Linked DNA regions of Arabidopsis thaliana. The protein of the gene in region 3 interacts with the protein of the main gene of each other region in a biochemical or structural test. Each region holds a gene or a part of one and is shown on either strand. Other genes may lie near its edges.

Region 1 (4,432 bases), on a different chromosome or scaffold from region 3:
TCTTTTTTAACATTTATAAATTTTAATATTTATTTTCGAAAGGCTAACAAACGCATGCGTACCTTTACATGAAACAAAAAGAAATTGTAGAATAATATTGTTTGAACATTTCTAGATATTCATGTGCATATTGTTCAAAACTTGTGTATGATTGTATCATTGATTGTTACATAAGTATTTGTTAAACAAATAAAAACTATACAACGTGGCTACGTATCAATCTATGCTTAGCAAAGTCAACCATGTAAATTTTGTAAGTATTACCTTACTCTAAGAAAATAAAACCCTAAACGAACAGATAGGCTTGCACCTGTATAATATATTAGACATTACAAGTCTCTACAATGTTGGTTTATCATTAACAAGGACTAAACAATATACTATAATCATACAATAAATTAAGAGTCGTAAATTAATGGTAAACTCAACTAATGCATGAATAGTTGTAAAAGTATATATATTTGGACACGTTACTCAACTTGCATCGCGGATCTGTATTCCTTCCCAACCACTACGTACACGCATTTCCCACGAGTTTGACGATCTTTCTCGTTTAATCTAATCATATCTACTTTTATAGGCTCCATAGCCCACATTTCATATCTTATAGTACGTTCCAACTTCTAACCAATAAACTCAAAACTAGTTGAGTTTTTTAATTAGTGAAATATATCTTGAATTTTATATATCTAATCTTGCACCAATAAAGTTTCTGTCAATTATGTAAAAGAAAGACTCGTTGTATCAGTATGGGACGACTTTTTCTTCTGAATTGTGTCGATCGAGTCCATATTATAATACTTTGTCACGTACTTTGTTTACTGATTAATTTAATATAATTGTGTCGCATTATCCAAGTCTAATTAAACATTAATGTGTATATTATACACCAAGTTACAATTACAGATCTATCTCTTAGTCGTTTTATTATGTATAGCCTACAATGAAACATGACATCAACGTATAGGTGAAGCTGAAGCCTATACATAAAAGTAAGGTTTTGGAGTTTGTTTCATGTTTTAAGGTTTTAGATATTTTGTGATCGATTTGCATGTATAGGGTTCCAAATATCTGAGCTTTGGCTTGGTCTACTTTGAGAAAGCAGCTGTAGAGATCAACTTTAGCCGTTTAGGTGATAAAATCACATTAGAACTCTATAGGTCGCGTAGCAGCGTATAAGAGCCCTGGATACTGAAATACAAGAATCTCTCCACGCGTAGAAAAACGAACCAACCATGATAAAACACGTGTCATATCGAATAGGTACAGACAACGTGCACTTGCCAACCTTCTTTCCTTGTAGTTTCCTTCTTCTTTGCTTCTTTTTTTCGTTAAATATTGATATTGTTCAAAAAACGCATAACAACAAAAACGTGGTCGACGGAACATGTGGGTGGTGGAGTTGTCTTCTTTAGGGGACCACTCACTAACGCCGTTTACTTTCCCGCTTGGACGATAACACCCTTGATATATGGATTAGTCTCTCTTTTGCTTTTGGATATCTTAATATATTTTAATATGTCCATTTTTATATTGACGACCATTTAATTAGGTCTCAGTTTGTATTATTGATTTTTAGGTGCCAAGCATTACTTTCGTTACGTGTAATCTTTTGATTATTCAATCAAATTATCATATGGTTCATGGCATTTTATCAATTGTGACGGTCGACATGTGGGTTGACTTTGATGTATGACTTTTAGCTTGTGCCTCATTTTTATTCCAACTCGACAACTAGCAGACTTTATATTTTAATTTATTTCTTTCTAGATATTAGACAATTCTTAGCTTGTCTCTCTGCATGAATCACGCGTTAATATACTTATAATAGTAAGTTTTAAAATGTTTCGAGTATAATATCATATTAGATTTCAATTATAATTGTAAGATTATTTAGTCTCAATGAAGAGCATTTAAAAATGTGAAAGAGTTTAGGCTTTGACTGTTGACTGGTTCTAACGCGTTTTGCTTCTTATTTATACAAAAAGATTTTATTTTATTTTAATTAGAAATATTAAGTACTTTTTAGACGTGTTTAGGTTGATTAATTTCTTGTTAACATATCCGATAAAAAAAAACAGCACCAAAATCACGACGAGAATTATGCCTACGTTACGTTGATAATAAAGATTAGAGATAAAATGTAACCTCTCTTCTCTTTACATCATTACATGCATCTTGTGTTTTATTTGACTTTATTCTTACCAACAAACAACCAATGGATAAATTAGGCTCGTGAAGGAGGGCAAACTCGTAATTTCAAAGAAACGGAAAGCGTCAGAACGTGGAGAACAGTGAACCGAGACACATTCCCGATTTTTCTAAAGAAACAAAATAAAACACGTGTTTTTTATACCATAAGTAAAGTAGTAGTATTTATTAAACTATTAATATATAGCTTTGTTATATTGGAGGTAGGAAGAAGAACTCTGCAACCAAACCAACCAACCCCAAAGCCAAACAAAGTTTTATAGAGACCTTCCATTTCTCCCTCTCGTGACAAACGCAATTTGCAGAGAAGCAACAGCAACAACAAGAAGAAGAAGAAAAAGATTTGAGATTACTTTGTATCGATTTAGCTATTCGAGAAACTCTTGCCGTTTGAAAGTTTTAATTGTTAAAGATGTCGAGTTCTATGGAATGTTCTGAGTTCGTCGGTAGCCGGAGATTTACTGGGAAGAAGCCTAGCTTCTCACAGACGTGTAGTCGATTGAGTCAGTATCTAAAAGAGAACGGTAGCTTTGGAGATCTGAGCTTAGGAATGGCATGCAAGCCTGATGTCAATGGTAAGAAACCTTCTCTTTCTCCTAGATCCACTTCTTTTTTCGTTTTCTCTGTTTTTTATTTCTTGAATCTTGATCTTGAAAACTTTTCAAGAAAATTTTGAATCGATTTCAAAGAAATTAGGGAGAGTTAGTTTGCTAAATTTTGACATAGAAAATGATTGGAGAGAGTTCTAACTTTTGGATCATATATATTTGCAGGAACTTTAGGCAACTCACGTCAGCCGACAACAACCATGAGTTTATTCCCTTGTGAAGCTTCTAACATGGATTCCATGGTTCAAGATGTTAAACCGACGAATCTGTTTCCTAGGCAACCAAGCTTTTCTTCCTCATCTTCCTCTCTTCCAAAGGAAGATGTTTTGAAAATGACACAGACTACCAGATCTGTGAAACCAGAGTCTCAAACTGCACCATTGACTATATTCTACGCCGGGCAAGTGATTGTATTCAATGACTTTTCTGCTGAGAAAGCCAAAGAAGTGATCAACTTGGCGAGCAAAGGCACCGCTAATAGCTTAGCCAAGAATCAAACCGATATCAGAAGCAACATCGCTACTATCGCAAACCAAGTTCCTCATCCAAGAAAAACCACAACACAAGAGCCAATCCAATCCTCCCCAACACCATTGACAGAACTTCCTATTGCTAGAAGAGCTTCACTTCACCGGTTCTTGGAGAAGAGAAAGGACAGAGTTACGTCAAAGGCACCATACCAATTATGCGATCCAGCCAAAGCGTCTTCAAACCCTCAAACCACAGGCAACATGTCGTGGCTCGGTTTAGCAGCTGAAATATGAATGCTAACCACCCTCAAGCCGTACCAAGAAATTCTTTTGACGACGTTGCTTCAAGACAAGATATAAAAGCTCCTATCTTCATGCTTTTTGATTTAAGATACAAACTACTCAATGATTAGGAAACTTCATATATTTGTATGTATTGATTAGTGATCAATTATTGTTAGTATTCGTTATAGTCTGTTTTTCTACTAGTTATTGTCGCCTGTCTAAATCCCCTTGCTATGGGTTATCTCAAAATTAGTTTCGTATGTAACTAATTTTGTAAGAACAATAATTTTTGTTGACGAACCATACTATCAAATACTCTAAATTATATCTTGATAAATCTACCTATCAGGTAAGTAGGTGTGTTTTGTTTTCATTTGTTTACTTGTTACCTACTAATCTCATATTTTATGATTCAAATTCAAACCCGTGAATTATGAGTTAGTAGGTAGGTTTAACAACATGTCAACAACTAAAGAACAACGTGACATCTAAACCAAACCAAAACTATAGAGAGTTCAGAGTAGTCGTAGTCTCGTAGAGATCATTCATATAAATAAATCGCATAAACACCAAAATCAACTCTTAATTCTTTCCTAATCATCATTAATCTCTAATGGATTCCGAAATCGCATTCGACTATTCTCCGAGGTTTCGTATATTCAAGAACGGTGGCATCGAACGCCTCGTACCCGAAACATTCGTCCCACCGTCACTAAATCCCGAAAACGGCGTCGTATCTAAAGATGCCGTCTATTCACCGGAGAAAAACCTCTCTCTCCGCATTTACCTCCCTCAAAATTCCGTCTATGAAACCGGCGAGAAGAAAATCCCACTACTCGTCTACTTTCATGGCGGAGG
Region 2 (4,959 bases), on a different chromosome or scaffold from region 3:
CCATTATTACTTTCCTACAATTATTTATCTGCCTCTAAATAATAATATCTATAAGATCTTTCCGCTTGTGAAGAGAATCTCTCTGTTTTCGTAATCAACATGTGAGCTCTTTTGGTTCACAATTTTTTTTTTGTTTACTGTAGCACATAAACTAGTAGTATTTATTCTCCTTAACATCAAATTTTGAACTCGTGACTTTCATAAAAAGCTATTTAAAACATGAATATTTTCCTTTGAAAACATATCATTTTTTGTAATATATCATCTTAGGTATTTTACACAATCATCAACCTCAAGAGAATTTTCACCTTCTTATTTTCTTTACATTGATACCAAAAAAAAACTCGAGAGAATAATAGTAAAGTGGACTTGTTAACAACGAAAGCTGGCGATACAAAACTAGTACTATTCTCTTTAGCGATGCATTCAATATGATTTTGGTATAAATCAATTAAGTGTTCATATAATTAGTTAATGAAGTGTGTTTGTGAAATTAGCAAAAAAAAAATTATAGTGAATTTTATTTGATATTAAATTCTTGACAGACATGAGTCCATGACAAACATATATCTGTTAGTTCTTAAAGTTATAATGTAATCCTACAATAAACAGACCAAAGCATTACAAACAATGATCAAATACAGAGACGCCCTAACGTCTTCTCCTGCTCGTAAGAATATAAATGGTAACTATATAATCATAATCTAATGATTACAATTACAAATTACCATTGTAAAAAAAAAAAAAAAAAGTGTAGGTTTTATGTAGGAGAAGTAGAAGAGTAATTCATTCCACTGGATTCTCCGGTCGACAAATCAAGAAGCATCTTCTTGTATGGCATTGCACTCATAAGCCTGCACCAACAACATCAATTCTTTTAGATTCAATTGAAAAACCTCAAAATTTTCTATAAAGAAAAAAAATACAAAATCAAACCTCTCTTTGCGCTTCTCCAAGAACCGAGCCAAGGATGCTTTCCGAGCTTGAGGGACTGGAAAAAAGCAATTTTCGAGTTTAGACATATGATTTGAGGAAGCAAAAATCTTGATTATATTTTGTTTTGATGTTGATATTAGACACACATACCTGAAGGAATCATGTTACGAGGAGCTGCATTGAATGATTCGATCATGCTCATTGCATTAGTCGCAGCAACGGGTGTGTCCCTACACCTTGAGAAATTATCAGTGTGAGTGGCAGAGCTTGATGAGGTAGCAGCAGTGTTATGGATTTGTTTTCCATACATTCTTTCAGCTTCTCGAACCGGTTTGCTATCTCCAGTTTCACCTTTCAAACCGTTCCCGGCGCATAACATGATGGCTTGAGCCTACTCACATATCATGAATAGTCCGTTTTAGAACATGTAAATGTTATGTAAATGTTATTTGTATGAATCTTGATTATATATACCTTATCGGGAGATATGTCATTAAAGACGCTTATAGTTCCGCCATAAAAGATTGTGAGCTGAGGAGATGATCCGGAGGAAGCCACTCTGTTTCCACAAACCCACATAACCAAATCAAAATATGAAAAGAGCAAAAAAATTGTTGAATGTTTTTGCATCATAATATGGAAATTACCGTGGAACAAGAGAAGGATGAGTTGGTAAAGGAACTGAACCGCCTAGTAAAAGCGGCGTCGCGTTTTGAAACGCACCACCAAATTGGCATCTGCGGAAAACATTGGCCGCAGAAACTGATCCCCACTGGTATGCACCCGGAAACGCCTTAGCCTCCTAATTTGTTAAATTCAAATTTTAATCGTCAACGTCTTTAAATTTTTTGTACATTCTAAATTTAGAAAAATGCCAAGAAATAAACGTGATCCAAACGCCAAACACCAAACGCCACAAAATATTAAATTATTTTTTCCCTAACTTTGCGGCTGGCAGACGACCGACCCTACCAGCTCTTAACTAGCACTTATCCAACAATTTTTTTTCCCTGGTTAATGATTGGCCACATACACAAAAATGATAAAGTTCGGCCATTTATCCGACCATTTTCCGGTGGCTATCTCTTACGAAAACAACTTTTCTCATAAATATGTGATTGATGTGTTTAACATAATTTGAAAGTAAATTCTTCTTTTTAATCAAGACCATAATTGAGTACTCCTCTTGCACATGCTAAAAGACGACCATGATTATGCGGTAGCTTATAGAACCATTAGATTAGCCATAACATCTGAAACTGATACAGAGTAAGTTAAATTTTAAGATGAACCAACCTGGAAATCTGAAGAAGGCATGAAACTTGAAGTAGCAAAAACCTTTGACTTCCCCCATTCTCTAGCTGCCTTCGTACTTAACCCTATAAGTATCATTTTTTATGGTCGTCAATTTGACTAATCTATCCAATCTCATTTTTATAAAAGATTTAATGGAATCTTTTTTTTTTCAAGTTTTGGAATCTGAAAAATTATATTTAAATAAACAACTTTATACGGCTATGTTAAAAGTGAAAACTGATCTCTTCTTGAAACATTAAAATAAAAGATTCTCGAGACAAGAACACAAACCTCGTTCTTCGACAGCATCATCGTTAACCTCATGCTTAACGTTATTACTTAGATACTGCTTGTCGCTCAAACCCAGAAAATCTCTTTCCATTGCAAACCAAATATTCAATGACAAACTCTCAAATTAACGTGTTTCTCTCTGTTTCTTGCCCAAAACATCCAATTTAAAGAAGAGGAAGAAGAAAACAGAAGAAAGAAGTGGGAATCCACAAGGAAGGTTTCGTTTTGGTAATGTTACAGACACACTTTTGGAGAGGCTTATTTAACTCTTTGCCTTTCCTGTTTTTAAAGGCTTGCTTGATTAAAGCATGTGGGGCTTTTTTCTGACCGGTACAAACGGTTGGTGCTACTGGTTAAACCGGTTAATTCACACGTGTTTATTCTTTTGATTTTTTCATTTCTGAGGACCATATACAATTAGACATCCGTCGACCGTCGGTGGCTCTAGTTTATAATAGTGCATGTTTTTTTTCAAAGGTGGATTAATTAGTTTGGCTATTGGATATTTTCTTCGTGAACTCACACACACATGTAAAATGTGTGGTTGCTTTTCTTATGCAACGGTTTGGTATTTATCACATATTTTTTTCTTTTCTTTGAAAATTATTTCAACTATAATAATAAATGAAATGATAAGCCAAGACTCTTTCGTTGAGGCAAAAGTAATGTCACGTATTGGATATACAATAACCAAATCACGAGAATGCTCAATGGGCTGAAAGAAGTTTGATTTGCTTATCTAAGGCCCATAATTTTGTTTACGGCCCGACTTACATTAAATCTGTTCAGTATAACTGTACAGATTTGGCTAAATTGCATTCCAAACTAGACCTCCAAGAACTTGAGTGAACTTTTGCTAAGCTCATTTCATAACACGTGAAATTTTTGAATCTTTGATACATCATGTTGTTATTTGAGACCAATTTTTCTTATTCATATAATGTTTCAAACAGACGCAAGTCATTTATTAGTCATGTTACTCATGTACAAATTAAAAGAAGAACCTGGTTATGAAGCAATCATCGGTAGTACATTAAGAATTTCAGAAAATTAAAAAAAATATGGAAAAGAATTAGACGTTAGTTGGTCTTTCAAAGTCCTAAAACGATTTGGTAGTCAGCTTACAATTTTAAATTATCATTTTTAATGATTAAAGGACATTAGGCCAAGTCTTCAATTGAGTTCTTTAGACAATATGAGAATAAATAATGATGAATACGATGAAAAGATTCGTTCAGACATTCGCAATAGGACGAACACAGTTATCATTTTTTGGATCTCCATCCTGATTTACGGTTTAATATGTTCCATTATTCTCGACACGTTCATTTATTTTAACTTGTTTGTGTATTGATAAAAGAAGCTCAAACCCTTTTAATTACTGTTATTTTTTGCATAGACGAAAAACATGGCATTTATAGAAGATAAGAAATCGAAGGTTTCATTCACATCAAAGAAGAAGATATCGCTTTGGCCTATATAAGTCCGACAATTATACAAAAATCGATTCGGAGATACAATCATATCAATACTATATCAAATTATCAATATACTATAACTACGTACATCTTATGAGGGAGAACAAAAAAAATTACAAAAATACAACTAACAGTGTGGCTCGACTCGAGTTGTTGATTGATATCTTTCCCACTTTGTCCTTTCATTTACACCATTTCTCATCTGCAAAAGGCATATACATAGTAATTTAGATTTTATGATCGATAAAAGAACTGAAAAAAAAACGTAAATCAATATCAAAAATACCTTGTAATTTTCTACAACACTTTCCAACAAAAGCGAGAAACACAACGAGCAAGATGATTAAGGTGACGATTCCTATTATTATCGCCAATGTTTTTCCCACTCCATTATCATCCTTATTGCCCTTCTCTCCTTCTGCCAAATATATATATATATAATTTTAAAACTATCCATCCACCTCTAAAGTTTTTAATAAATTTGTTTTCTCCATCAAGTATAATGTTCATATTTTTATTTATGGTCAACACTATCAATTTTATGGGTTTAAAAATTTAGCGTCGTACACAAATATATAAACCATTAGACTAATTGTTAAGATCAGTCTAATATTTAAATTTTCATCTGAGGTTACGTAAAAAGGTTTTTTTTTTAGTGATTACGACTTTTTATTTTTTTATCTAGTTTAGTTAAAATAAGTTTAGAGGAAGACTGACCATGACCAAAGTTTGGGCCTGGGGTCTGACGCGCGTGACTACCACCAACACTGAAACGCGCGTAACATTTCGACAAGTAAACATATCCTCCCTGAGCCATTCCACAATCAGATTTGAGCCGTCCGATTGCATCAGACAAGCAATCTTGGCACTGTGATGTACTTAGATCACCGGAGCACTGAGCCACACCCTGAACATTCCCGTTGCCACCTGTCCTGTAAGATCCATCTCCGGTACCTAA
Region 3 (5,391 bases):
GTAATCTGAATTAGTCTATTTAGTACATCTTTTACGTACAATTAATCTAAAGTTATCCAGAATGAGAAAACGATCATCAAACAAAGTATAGTTAATATTACATGTACAGATGATAAATGTCTCCTTTCGTTCTTTGTTTTTATTTGGCGATAATGTGCCCTATAATTTTAAAAGCGCATGCTTTCTTCTTATCACTCACACGTTCTCTTCGCACTGTCACTCACATTTTCGAGGAGATTATTGCTAAAATGTTTGGAAACAAACACAATAATATATGTTGCAGAAAAATCTCTTTAATAATCGACCACACATGTCTCCACGATTTTTTTGTATGATTTTAACTTTTTCTTCAAAGATTCATAACCTCGCTTTCCCTCCCCCACAACCCTTTTAAGACATCTTATGTTTATATCCCCATGTTTCATTTTGATTTCACCATTTTGGACCTTTATGACATATATTGATTTTTTTTTATTTTTTTAAAGGGTATTATTCTAGTGGTTTCACTTCTTCTGTCAATATCAAGAAATCCATTTAGCATTTGCATGTTGTGCATCATGATTTATGCGACAAACTTAATTACTCTGAAGTAATCTATGGTTCAAAATACTATTTAGAACGATAATGATCATGTAACATCCACATAAATTTTGAGGTCCTACATTGGAATCTCTAAATAGCTGTGATTGATTTAAATTATCCCTATTGAAAACAAAAAAAAGTAGGTATATTCGTTCCTAACAAATTAGATGCCTCTTTTGATGCCAACTTCCCAATGACTAGTCCCAAATGATGAACACAAAAAACTCACTTGAAAGTGAAATACTCAAACTTTAACTCAAAAGACAACAAAAAACTCCAACTTCAGTCCCATTTGTCTTATTTCTAACAAAAGCCTTATTTACATACATACACCAACAAACCAAAGACTTAACCATTGATCAAACACATTTATTTATCTCATGAAACAACAAACCCCAACCTAATCATATACTACACTAAGAATCCTCTCTAACAAGCATTCAATAGCAACAAGTGGGTACTACAAAATTACCCTTACACAATAGAGTTTACAACTACATTCACTAGAGAAACTTGTGTGAAAGGTTTAACACTTTTTACCGCGGCTTATACTATGATCGTTGTTTTCGACTTTTCGCAGTATTCTCCGGTGTATTAGCCCTAAAGATGCTGACTTCAATTCATGGACATTCTCCAACTTTCTCCGTTAGAGCAACCTTGAGTTGATCTTGCGTGAAAAACTGATTCCCCATTTTCACAGTCGCTTGTTGGATCATAAGATCATTCACTACCGATAAACTCGCATGATTCACTTCCAAATCCAACTCCTTAAGTGCTTCCATGAACTTAGCACCAGGATGATTCCTCTTACTACATTGAATCCTTATCATTGCATCCCAACCAATAATCTTCACATCAACCTCCATCTCTATCAACACACTCGATTCTTGATTCAAACATTTTCGATCTTTTACCGAACTTTTCGCATTTCCCGCTTCTTTATTCATCACATCAATCTGCTTCTGCAACTCTTCTTTATCAGATTCAGCCTTTTGCAACTTAGACTTAAGCTCACTGATATACGAAATAGCATCTCCTAATAGAGAAGCTTTATCCATCTTAGACACATTAGGAACCACAGCTCTTAAAGAATAGAATCTCTGATTCAACTTCTCTCTTCTCTGTCTCTCTGCCTCTACATGATTCAAAGGCTCTTCTCTTCCATTCGCCGGTTTTCTCCCTCGTTTCCTCGGTTTCTTCTCCGGTTCAACCACAACTCTGTTACTCTCAGCTTCTTTAGCCACTGAAGCTTCAAGATCAGAGTGATTCGAGTCACATGGAAGAACAGAGGTAAAAGAAAGCATCCCTTCTTCATTATTCGAAACCGGTGATCTCTTCTTATTACTACTATCTTCTTCTTGACCATTCTCAATCCCATTCTTGAAATTCACCATTTCACAAGATTTCAGAACTTTAGGGTTAGGGTTTTCAACAGAGCTTCCATTACAAAGCTTAGAAATTGGTTGAGAATCAGAATTAGAAGTTGAGTCATTTCCACCATTATTCATCACCGGAGCAGCTACAAGACCAGAGTCAACACCATTAGGTTCACTAATCCACAAACCTGGATCATTCTCTCCTTGATCTGGATTCAAATTAAACGCCCAAGAACCAAATTCACCACCACCATTGTTAAAATTGAAAAAGGTGTCAACTTTATCAACAAGATCTGAACTTTGATGAATAATCTCCGACGAACCAAGCTCAACGACACCATTCTCTGTCGCTACACACACCATTGTTTGTAACCCATAAATCTGACCTTGACGAGCTCTCTCACAACTTGATCCAGCTAAAGCATTAGAACCAGATAACCAAATCGTGTCTGAATTTGAGAAAGCTTGACCAGGTAAACCAGTACCCTTGACAAAGCTCTGTGTCATTGAAACTAAGAAGAACCATTCAGTATCTGTAACTTCTTCATCTCCAGCTTCATCTCCTCCTCCTACACCACCGGAGATTAAAGAGTTGAGCTCTCTAATCACTCTCTTACGATGCTCTTGTTCAGCTGCACTAGCTGGATTTGATTTCTTCTTTCTAGACTTCTCTTCTTCTCCTTTGTAATAACCATCTCCCCAACCTAACAACACTGTGTTGTTGTTGTTGTTGTCTTCTCCGGCGAAACCGTGAGATGATTGCCAGAACACGGCGTAAGTCCAGTTCTCGTTTGCTCCTTCGATTAAAGCTTGGAGACGTTGCTGGAGATTATCTTCGTTGACTTGAGGAAGAGGAGGAGGAGGAAGTGGAGGAAAAAGAGAAGAATGATCGGAGCCGCCGCCGATGAAAGCTTCCATTACCGATGCATCGTCGTCGGTTGACCAGAGATTTGTTGTATCCGTTTTTGATTGGTTGAGATGGTAATCGGTTACTTGAACATTCGTCGGAGACATAACAGTTCTCTGACGTAGTTATAAAAGAGAAGACTTTTTGTTTTTCCGGTGAGAGACAGAGGAGAGAAGTAAGTTCTTTAAGCAAAATATTTGTGTTTGGTTTGATTGTTTCGGGAAAAGGAATCTGTTTATATTCATTTTTTTTTTTTAACTCTAAAGAAAAAGAAATAGTACTTTTATTTTCACCAAATATGAATTATTGATTGAGTTATTTCTGAAGTTGGGTTATATACATAACTTGATTGAAAACAATTTTTTTCTGAATAGTAATTGTTTTACAAGAAAATTACTAATCTATGTAAGAGAATCGGATCAAATTTGTCAAGGAGCCTTTTACATCAAAGTTGATAATTAAGAACAATTAAAGAATGAAAATGATATTTCACTTACAATAATGATCTTGTCTCCCTCACTTTTGGTATTGGTGTCAATATCTGCTTTTCTTGTGATTAATCCCATCATTTAATTCTTGTAAGCAAGTAGCATCAATTAATTTAAACAATGAGTTTGTAGAATTGCAGTTGTTCTTTGAGGCAGGAAAATATGATTTAAAGGGATTAAGGGAGTGTTAACACCAAAGATTTGGATACAACATTTATATACAAAACCTATAAAGCAAATATTGTAGACTTGTAGTTTAACATTTTCTTATAAACATATTTTTGTTGGCTTCGTTATTGGACACAACTTTTTGCAATGATAAAGAACAAAAAAAAGACATGGGTGATTTTGATATCAAAGGTGAAAGAGACGCAAGAGCATAAAGGAAAATAAAAGGTATAGTATTAAAACAGAATTAGATTTAATTACGAAAATTATACGACCACACAAAAATAATCACATTATGTCGTGTGGGTCTCGTGTTTTTAGTGGCCAGATTTCATAATATGCTTTCTTTTTCAGTGAGAGCAAATGCCCAAAAATGTTGGTCTCTCTATGTTCATATCCGACGAAACTATAGTGTCTACTGTACAGTGACATTTCGGAATCGCATAAAAGCAAACAAAACAAATTAAGCTGGGCTTTACTTTATATTGGGCCTCACACATTTTGGGTAGTTAATAAAACTAGCCCGCAAATATTTCACATTTGACATTTTTTAGTGTATGGTCAACAACAAGTATAGCGAAACTTTTAGCATATAATATGTGTGAGACATATTATGGAAAGAAGGCAAAAATGAAAACCGTTAGTTAGTTTGAAAACCTGGAGTTATAAAAAGTCGTATTTTAATTTACTAATACATGTTAACTTCAGATATTAAAAACAAATCCTGTACGTATTAAACCATATGATAAACATAATATTAATACGAAAAATGTATAACACACGATTAGACAAATTAGGAAGTAATCTTTGAATTGAGGTTTAAGAAAAGGTGAAAATGATAAGCTTTCGTCCGTTTTATATCATCCATGTTGCTTCAGAAACGGAATTTACACACTACGTGTCGTTTCTACGTAATGCCATTTTCGTAATTTCTAGAGTTTATTCAGGGTGTTTTCGTCAGTCTAGTCAGATCAAATGTTTCCATCAAACGTTAGTACTGTTTCCTTTAGATTTACAGATTTTGAAGAAGAAAGATTTCAAATTAAAAAATCTTTCAAATTTCTTCAAGGAGGTGATCAAATTGAACAATTTGATCTACAATGGCTTCTTCTTCTGCTGACAATCTTACCGACAAAAACATTGTTTTCAGAAAACTCAAATCAAAATCTGAGAACAAGGTAATCAAATTTTTTTCTGAATTCTTCTCTTTCTTTGAGTATCGTCAATTTGATATTGTGTATGTTTAGATCTGAGAGTTGTTTGACTAGATCTTTGATTCATTTATGCTAATTTTGGTTTTGATTTGCCAATTTAGGTCTGCTTCGATTGTAGTGCGAAGAATCCAACTTGGGCATCGGTTACATATGGGATTTTCCTCTGCATCGATTGTTCAGCTACTCACCGGAATCTTGGTGTTCATATCAGCTTCGTCAGGTAAACAATTCATCATCTGATCCAATTCTTCGGCATTACTCTAGCTCAGATTTTGGCTAAGGTTTAAGCTTTTGAGGCCTTTATAAGGGAATTAGCTTAAACCGTGCTCAGGTGTTCAGAATTGTTGGCTAATGTGTAGCATTACGTTGACTTTAGTGTGGTTGAATCATCAGATTATGTTTTAAGGTTTCAGAATTGTTGACTTCAAAATTTCACCAGTGTCTTGAAATTAGACTCATTCAAATTATCGATTCATTGACTAGATAATATTGAATAATGCCACATTACGTTCTCAAGATGCTACCTTTTCCGTTTTTGTATAGATCAACGAATTTAGACTCTTGGAGCCCGGAGCAGCTCAGGACAATGATGTTTGGTGGTAACAACCGTGCTCAGGTTTTCTTCAAGCAACATGGATGGACTGATGGTGGCAAAA

Evidence for each region. Proteins that work in one complex are often made in the same cells at the same time.
Region 1: the proteins of MYC4 (region 3) and JAZ1 form a complex in vitro, tested with the Arabidopsis thaliana proteins (2 studies listed by BioGRID).
Region 2: the proteins of MYC4 (region 3) and TIFY7 form a complex in vitro, tested with the Arabidopsis thaliana proteins (2 studies listed by BioGRID).

What each region holds. Positions count from the first base shown.
Region 1 is NC_003070.9:6,619,689-6,624,120, forward strand, and holds JAZ1 (jasmonate-zim-domain protein 1), read left to right. Parts: upstream 1-2,088; 5' UTR 2,089-2,143; intron 2,144-2,231; 5' UTR 2,232-2,623; coding exon 2,624-2,786; exon of another isoform or gene 2,787-2,984; coding exon 2,985-3,583; 3' UTR 3,584-3,932; downstream 3,933-4,432. Other genes in the region: AT1G19190 (alpha/beta-Hydrolases superfamily protein), read left to right, coding at 4,188-4,432.
Region 2 is NC_003070.9:26,652,606-26,657,564, reverse strand, and holds TIFY7 (TIFY domain/Divergent CCT motif family protein), read right to left. Parts: upstream 2,798-4,959; 5' UTR 2,615-2,797; coding exon 2,524-2,614; intron 2,316-2,523; coding exon 2,233-2,315; intron 1,739-2,232; coding exon 1,584-1,738; intron 1,496-1,583; coding exon 1,411-1,495; intron 1,328-1,410; coding exon 1,087-1,327; intron 992-1,086; coding exon 816-991; coding exon of another isoform or gene 761-815; 3' UTR 501-760; downstream 1-500. Other genes in the region: HWI1 (Receptor-like protein kinase-related family protein), read right to left, coding at 4,184-4,203, 4,288-4,419, 4,719-4,959. UniProt on the Arabidopsis thaliana protein: Repressor of jasmonate responses. Jasmonoyl-isoleucine (JA-Ile) specifically promotes COI1-TIFY7/JAZ9 interaction. Interacts with and suppresses RHD6 and RSL1 transcription factor activities to negatively regulate jasmonate-stimulated root hair development.
Region 3 is NC_003075.7:9,932,500-9,937,890, forward strand, and holds MYC4 (Basic helix-loop-helix (bHLH) DNA-binding family protein), read right to left. Parts: upstream 3,187-5,391; 5' UTR 2,973-3,186; coding exon 1,203-2,972; 3' UTR 827-1,202; downstream 1-826. Other genes in the region: AGD8 (ARF-GAP domain 8), read left to right, coding at 4,622-4,699, 4,837-4,955, 5,279-5,391. UniProt on the Arabidopsis thaliana protein: Transcription factor involved in jasmonic acid (JA) gene regulation. With MYC2 and MYC3, controls additively subsets of JA-dependent responses. Can form complexes with all known glucosinolate-related MYBs to regulate glucosinolate biosynthesis.